2 linked regions of the Oryctolagus cuniculus genome follow. The protein of the gene in region 2 binds, or shares a complex with, the protein of the main gene of each other region. Links are inferred from orthologs where the notes say so. Each region holds a gene or a part of one and is shown on either strand. Other genes may lie near its edges. The genes, in order: POLR2H and GTF2A1.

Region 1 (4,254 bases), on a different chromosome or scaffold from region 2:
AGGGCTGAACACTCTGATACGGGCAGCTTAACCTGCTACACCACAATGCCAGCTCCATCAGTTGTTTGAATTCTAAAGTGCAGTAATTTATTTAAGATTGCTCCAATTCTGCCGATAATCACTTATTCCAAGAATTAAACAGTCTTTCTCTACCACTGATCTCAGTCCTCAGCGTGTATTCCAGGCCTCCCATCCCCACTCCTTACCGGGAAGGCCTGTCATCTGTAGGGTTGTATTCCCCATCATCCAGGGTCCCGTCTTCATACAAGGTACTAGCTATGACCAACCGGAACTTGTCACCTGAAAACAGCAGCAATATCTGGGCGTAAAGAATAGCTGAGACGGCAAGAAGCCTCTGTTGATTCTCTGGGTTCAATACTTACCCAGGTCCACAGGGTAAATCTGAATGTTTACATCTAAGATGAGGTCCATCTTGAAAGATTCGCTCTCACAGTGCAGTCGAGACACTGGGGAGAAGCAGAGAGACGGACGATGTAATTACCAGGGCAAAGGCAGATCTGACAGATCCCAGTTTGGGAATTACAGGCAATCGACTATTTAATGTAACCTGATCTACATCCACTGGCCTCTTATGTGCTCTCACAGAAGTGCAGGCACAGGGCATATTGGGTAAAGCCGCCACCTGCAGCACTGGCATCCCAAATGAGTGCTGGTTCGAGTCCCTGCTGCTCTACTTCTGATCCAGCTCTCTGCTATGGCCTGGGAAGGCAGAAGATGGTCCAAGTCCTTGGGCTCCTGCACTCATGTGGGAGACCTGGAAGAAGCTCCTGGCTTCGGATCAGCCCAGCCCATGCCATTGCAACCATTTGGGGGAATGAATCAGCAGATGGAAGACCTCTCTTTCTCTCTGCCTCTGCCTCTCTGTAACTCTGCCTTTCAAACAAGTAAGTAAATCTTAAAAAAAAAAAAAAAAAAAAAAAAGTGCAGGCACTGCAGTGCAGTGGGCAGAGCTGCTGTGTACGAGGTGGGCATTCTGTATCAGAGCACCAGTTGGAAGAGGCTGCTTTGCTTCTGATCCAGCTCCCAGATCACTTTGGCTTCACCCAGCCCCAGGCACTGAGGCCACCTGGGGAGTGAAGCAGTGGATGGAAGACCTCTTTCACTGTCTCTCCCTATCTCTGTCTTTCAAATAAATAAAACAAACCTTAAAAAAAAGAGAGAGAGAGAGAGAGAAATGCAGGCTCGCTCAGAACCAGATATGCATGGAGGACAAAAACCATGGCAGGGGCCAGCGATTGTGGATTAGTGGGCAAAGCCCCACCTGCAGTGCTGGCATCCCATATGGGTGCCGGTTCAAGTCCCAGCTGCTCCACTTCCAATCCCTGCTAATGCACCCGGGAAAGCAGAAGAGGATGGCCCAGGTCCTTGGGCCCCTGCACCCACGTGGGAGACCTGGAAGAAGCTCCAGGAGCCTGGCTTCAGATCAGTGCAGCTCCGGCCATTGTGGCCATCTGGGCAGTGAACCAACGGATTAAAGACCCCTCTCTCTCTCTGTAATTCTGCCTTTCATATAAATAAATAAGTCTTTAAAAATTAATAATTGGGGCTGGCACTATGGCGCAGTGGGTTGACGCCCTGACCTAAGGCGCCGGCATCCCATATGGGTGCCAGTTCATATCCTGGCTGCTCCACTTCCAACCCAACTCTCTGCTGTGGCCTGGGAAAGCAGTAGAGGATAGCCCAAGTCCTTGGGCCCCTGCACCGTGTGGGAGACCTGGAAGAAGCTCCTGGCTCCTGGCTTCAGATCAGCACAGCTCCAGCCGTTGTGGCCATCTGGGGAGTGAACCAAAGGATGGAAGACCTTTCTCTGTCTCTACCTCTCTCTCTTTCAAATAAATAAAATTAATCTTTAAAAAATAATAATAATTTTTTAAAAAAGCATGGCAAATGAATGGAATCCTGCCCCCAAATCAAAATATTCTAGCAGCAAAAGACAGAGTTCTAGGCACTACCTGGGTGATTTAGAACCTGGGTCTGGGCAAGGGACTTCTTCAACCAAAGGTGTCCTCTCCCATGCTAAGGGGATTATCTCACTGAATAACTGAGACTTGAAAAACACCTCGGGCGCCTGGCCTGCACCGCGCAGTTAACTCAGAGGGTCTGACATCAGCTGGAGACTCGACTCCACACAAGAATTCGGGCTCATAAGTCAGACTGACCACGGTGCAGCCTTGGGTGGCAAACTTACCCTCCAGGAGGAGAGGAAGGCACCACCTACCTCCTGGGAACTCTCGAGAGCACTAAATAAGGCAAAATGTGTGTAAGTGAGAGGCGACTGCAGAGACGTCCAGGAGCCTGCCACCACCATGGCACTGGGCACCGCGTGTGTGCAGCCAGGGAGAGCTCGGCGTCTCGGCTTTCTCATCCATAAAAGGTCTCCTGGGAGAGGCCCCTACATCAGGACCTGCCGCAAGGGCAGGCCACGTGAGCCGGAGCCCAGGGGTGTGTCCCGAGGAAGTTAGTTTCTTCGGCCAAACCCCACACCTTACCTACCTCGGTCAAACTTCTTGCCTTCCGGGTCAATGTCTTTCACATCGAAAATGTCCTCAAACAGGATGCCCGCCATCGTGAGGGGGCCACGAGAGCAGCGGAAACGCGAGGAGCGAGACCACAACTACGAGTTAGCCCACTCTCGCGTGGAAAAAGAAGACACTAGAGCAAAAGGCGCCTGAACGCTGGCGGCAGAGCAGCAGGAAAGCGCATGCGCACCAGCTTGCAGTACGGCAGCCACTTCCGCCGCCTCCACCTCGGGGATTCTCAACTTCCGCCCCGATAGATTGCTGGCGAGGGAACACGCATTGAGGGCGTGTCTCCGAGCCAGGTGACTCCGCCCAGGGCGGGAACGCCCCAAGCACCACCTCTGGCGGAGGTGGCTCGGGTTATCGCGCTCCGCTGGGGCTCCGCTTCGCCCTCTCCAGAGTCCGGGCCCTGAAGCCTGGAATGCTTGGAGACTTAACCCAGGCCGAGACCTTGATCTTTGCCCCAGAGAAGCCGGGCCCTAGCCCTACCCTGCCGGTCCTCGTGTCCCCCGAGGGCATAGTCCGCGCCGGGGACGGGTGCAACAAAACTCCGCCCCCAGAGCGCTAGCCCAGCAGGACGTAATGCCTAGTCCCTCAACTGGCACCGAGGGCCCCCAGGTCGGCGGGGGCTGGCTCGGCCCTGCTGGACGTCACCTGAGCCGGGGCCGTCCAGGATATCACTCCGGGGGAAAGGAAAGCTGGCACTGCCCTCCTCTGGCGCTGCACCCTCCCCCCACCACTGCCCTCTTCCCCTGGGCCCTGCTCGCTCCTTCCGCCTGCCACAAATCCCCTCACACTGCCCTACCCGTTAGCAGTGCCCCCTCAGCGTGTGCCGCGTGTTCCCCCAGCACTGCCCTCCTCTTGGATCACTTTCCTGTCTCTTCCTCCCGGGTGCTGGCCCCCTTCTCCCACAACCTCCCTTCCTTGGCCTCCTGCCGCCCTCCTGCACGCCGCGTCTGCGCTCGCTATCTCGAACGCTGCCCGTGCACCCCGTGCTCACCCCACCCTCTGTTCTCTCCTTCCCCGGACCCTGATAGAGAAAGCCAAACCCCAGCAGGCCGTTTCCCCAAGGCGGCGAGACGTCAGCAGCTCCTGGGGTTTTCCTTGGGCCCTGCCAGGAGAAGCGACCTCTGCCCACCCCACCCCACCCCCGACGCCTGCCTTCCAGGCACTAGAACTCCCTTCCCTCGGGCCTTTCTTTCCCAGTCCCCTTGCCCGCAAAATCCGGCGGGTCCGGTATTGCAGGGGCACCTCCTGAGGCTAGCCCCGAGCAAGGGCAGGAGCCCAGAATGGCCCTCCGAATCCCCCGCAGAGGGGCCTTTCCAGGCCCGCCTGGGCCTCCAGTCCTCAGCAGAGAAGGCAGCTGCTCTCACGAATTAGCAGCCCTGCAGCCCCGAGCCCGAAGTCCTAAGCGCCCGGCGGCTCCGGTCCCTCTCCGCCTTGCACGGAGAGCTGTGGACCGGCTCCACGTGCCAGTGGCCCTGCCCCGCCCCGGCCGCGGGCGCCCCTCTCAGTCCTTCTCCGCCGGCAGGCGCGTTCCAGGCGCCCCCTGCCGCCTCTCCGGAGCCTGGGAGGCGGCCCCGTCGCAGACCCTAGCCGGGCTAGGCCGGCCCCTCCGGATGGGCTGGCGGGCGGAGCAGCGCAGAGGGCACCGCCCTCGGCCCGCCCGCCGAGGAGGGGACGGGAGCGGGAGGCCGTGCCAGCGGCGCCCGCC
Region 2 (3,809 bases):
GATATAAATTCCTTGAAATATCTTTCTGATTAATTATATTACCATACCACATTTTCATGAAATCACATATTTTTTCAAAATGTTGATTTCTATAGCACACAGCACCATTAGAAAAATCAAAACTATTTTTACTGAGTATCTTCGAATTGGGAATTACCCAGTTTTAAACAAACAGGGATAAAAGAGCTCCCATAAAACACCTTTTGGTACTTTTTAAACAGAAAATTACGTAATTTTATGAAGCTTAATGCTGAAATACCAAGTTAAACTTTAGATCTGCTGCTAAATACAATATATAAGAAACTAAATAAAATATCTGTCTTGTTCAAGTCTTCAATAAACTTCAAGTTGTTAATATACAACATACCCAGGCAAGATCCCTATCTGAGTTAGAAGACGCAAAGCCAATCAAAGTGCTACACTATGAGTCTTACCATGTTTGATGCATTCATGTGCTGTATCAGCTTAGAATCAGGAACAATAACTTGAGGTGCCGTGGCTACAAAATAATTAAATCAAATAAACACACATGGAAACAAGGAACCCTAAGGCTATTTCATAATCACAAGTATGTTATTTAATGCTGAAAACTTTTTCTGCATTTAAATGCCCTCAACCCCTTGATACTTCAAAATGTTATACATTTTACAGCATTTAAAGCTCTAGTATAACTGTATCATAACAGAAAACATCAATATTTAAGTATTTAAGTGATAAATTTGAAGGTTGCAAAGGAATTCAGTAAGATGAGGAAATGAAATACTTATCACAACAGCTACTAATTCATTAGGAACAAAATTCAGTTATAACTACTTTTTTTAATCTACAATCCTTTTCTCCCAATTTGACAGTTGCTAGGATGTTACTAATTGTTCGAAAAGTAGAAATTGAAAATAATGGTGATGTTACTTAAGTGTAAAAGGCATTAAATGTTTGATTCCGCAAATTTCAGAGAACAGACAGACAATCCCATTATCCACATAATCTCTGAGTGAAGAAAATCAAATTTTAATTTATGATGACCTAAAATCCTAATGCCAGGCTTGAAAGCATTAGGAGGAACAGTCATCAGAAAAGATTAAGAGTTAAAAATATTTGATAACAAAGGATAGATTTAAAGCAGATATTAAATCTTACTTTATATAAACAGCAAAACAACCCAAAAAGACCTTTCCACTGTGTATCACTATCATTTTTTTCACTTTTTTTAAAAGAATTATGTATGTATATATGTATATATTTGAAAGAGAGAGAGAGAAAAAAAAACAGAGAGAGACTGTGAATTCACTGTTCACTCCTCAAATGCCTACAATAGCCAGGGTTGAACAAGACTGAAATCATGAACCTAAAACTCCATCCAGATTTCTCAAGTGGGTGGCGGGGACTTAAGTACTTGGGCCATTATCTCCTGCCTTTTCAGGTGCATTAGCTGGAAGCTGGATCAGAAGCAGAGCAGTCAGTCAGAACTTCAACCAGTACTCTGATGTGGTATGCAGGCATTAAAAGCAGCAGTTTAACCTGGCTGCTCCACAATGCTTGCCCTTCACTATCAATTTCAAGTCATACACATATATATGTAGGTTAACTAAATGGTTACCTTAAAACAAGCTTTTCATTTACCTTCTTCTCCAATAACAATCAAGATTCACTGAATTAGAATACTTAGTAAGTTTTTAATTGAACATAGTTGTTATGACAGAAAATATTTGCTACATATAATGGATCATGCTTCTCAGCCTTTTTAAGGCCCAGATTTGCCTCAGCTATGAAGCAATGGAGCTAAGAACTATTTCATAGAGTTCCTAAAAGGAGTCAAAATGAAGCCTCATCTTTCTTAGGAGATAGCAGGTGATGACTCAAGTACTTAGGCACCCGCCACCCATAAGAGAGAACTGGATTGAGTTCCAAGCTCCTGGTTTCAGGCTGTCCCAGCCCACACTGTTGCAGGCATTTGGACAATAAACCAGTAGATAGAAGGATCTCTCTCTCCCTTTCTCTCTCTCAGCCTTTCAGTTAAAAATAAATGAAAAACAAATAGTTTTGCATTGTGCATTGTTCATACCTTTAAACAGAGTAATAATATACATCAAGATATATAGATCAACTATTCACATAAAAGAAATTTAATTGTTAATTTAGACACAGAAATTACCATGGTACTGAATTTTCAGAATGCCAACATATGGTTCAAAACTCAGGATTTAAGACATAAAAACAACACCAATATCCCTTTGAAGGAAAATGTTTCATGAAGAAATAACTACTTTACTATATAAAACAATGAAATCTTAGTTAAAAAAAAATTATAAATCTGACTTAAATTTTAGGAAAGCCACCACTATATGTACTTCCTAAAAAACATTAGTACAAGTATCTGAATACTATTTTAGGGTTTCAATCAGGTAATTATTTGTCTATCACTATTCTACAAATAGGACTCACATTTTATACAAATTTATATACATAAAAACATACATAGAAAAGGGAAAAACAAAATCAGTACTTTTTTTTTTAGGTTTATGAAATACCTTTTAAAAACAAGATCCAAGTGACCTAGAGTATTTCTAGTCTTTTAAAATGACCAACTTAATTTCCAAGTAGTTAGGAAAACAGATCTAGTCTCACCTTGCTGTGATGCAGGAATAAGGACCTGCTGGGTCTGGGCTTGCTGAGGTACTGTCTGCTGAGGCTGAGCTTGCTGATGGTGGTGGTGGTGGTGATGCTGTTGCTGCTGGGGTTGATGTTGCTGTTGAACTTGCAATAAAAGTTGTTGCTCTTCTGAATGAAATCCATCTACTGCTCTAGACTGCATTAGTTTATTCTCCCACAACTAATGCAAACAACATTAAAAGTTTAAAAATGAAAAAATAACTCAATACATGGTCAAACATATTTTTACTAGCTATTTATGGAATTCTTCCATTTAAAAACTTACATAGCACAAAAATATAACCTCAAATCTCATCTAAGTGCAAAGGATAATGAAAACAATTTTTTAAAGTATCAAACTTCCTCTTTGCCACTTTAGCAACCTAAAGAAATTTTTGTTTTTATCTTCAACCATCTTTTCATAGCAACTCTTTAATCATCAGCTATTATATAGCACAGAGTTTCAGAAAAAGATTATCCTTTGTAGTATCAGAACCATTATGAAACTATCTTTATGGAATTCTTCTCTTCAAGAATTTTATTTATTTGAAAGGCACAGTGACAGAGACAGAGATCTTCTATCTACTGATTCACTACCCAACTGGCAGTAATGGCCAGGACTGGACCAGGCCTAAGCCAGAATCCTGGAACTCTATCCAGGTCTCCCGCATAGGTGGCATGGGTCATCTTCACTGCTTTCCCACGTGCACTAGCAGTGAGCTGGATTGGAGGCAGAGCAGCTGGGATTCCAATCAGCGCTCTGATTTGGGATTCTGGTATTGCAGGCAGGGGCTTAAACCAATGCACCACAATCCTTCACAGTACTCAGAAACTCTGTTGTTTGCCCCCTTTAAAAAAAAAAAAAAAAAGATTTATTTATTTATTTGAAAGGCAGAGTTACAGAAAAAGAGGGAGACACAGAGAGAAGGATTTTCCATACACTGGATCACTCCCTAAGTGACTGCAACAGCCAGGGCAGGATGAAGCCAGGAACCAGGAGCTTCATCCAAGTCTCCCATGTGGGAGGCAGGGGCCCAAGCACGTGGGCCATTCTCTGCTGCTTTCCCAGGCATTTTAGCTTGAAGCGGGATCTGAGATGGAACATCCATGACATGAACAAGAGCTCATACAGGCCCCCAGCATTGGAGGCAGCAACACAC

What was found.
Region 1: GTF2A1 (region 2) and POLR2H share a complex: the UniProt entries of both Homo sapiens proteins name them as parts of the TBP-based Pol II pre-initiation complex. The link is inferred for Oryctolagus cuniculus from reciprocal best matches to the Homo sapiens genes GTF2A1 and POLR2H.

What each region holds. Positions count from the first base shown.
Region 1 is NC_091435.1:93,932,076-93,936,329, reverse strand, and holds the start of POLR2H (DNA-directed RNA polymerases I, II, and III subunit RPABC3), read right to left. Parts: upstream 3,099-4,254; 5' UTR 2,588-3,098; coding exon 2,515-2,587; intron 468-2,514; coding exon 384-467; intron 301-383; coding exon 207-300; intron 1-206. UniProt on the Homo sapiens protein: DNA-dependent RNA polymerase catalyzes the transcription of DNA into RNA using the four ribonucleoside triphosphates as substrates.
Region 2 is NC_091451.1:27,041,034-27,044,842, forward strand, and holds part of GTF2A1 (transcription initiation factor IIA subunit 1), read right to left. Parts: intron 2,831-3,809; coding exon 2,626-2,830; intron 1,072-2,625; exon of another isoform or gene 928-1,071; intron 500-927; coding exon 435-499; intron 1-434. UniProt on the Homo sapiens protein: TFIIA is a component of the transcription machinery of RNA polymerase II and plays an important role in transcriptional activation. TFIIA in a complex with TBP mediates transcriptional activity.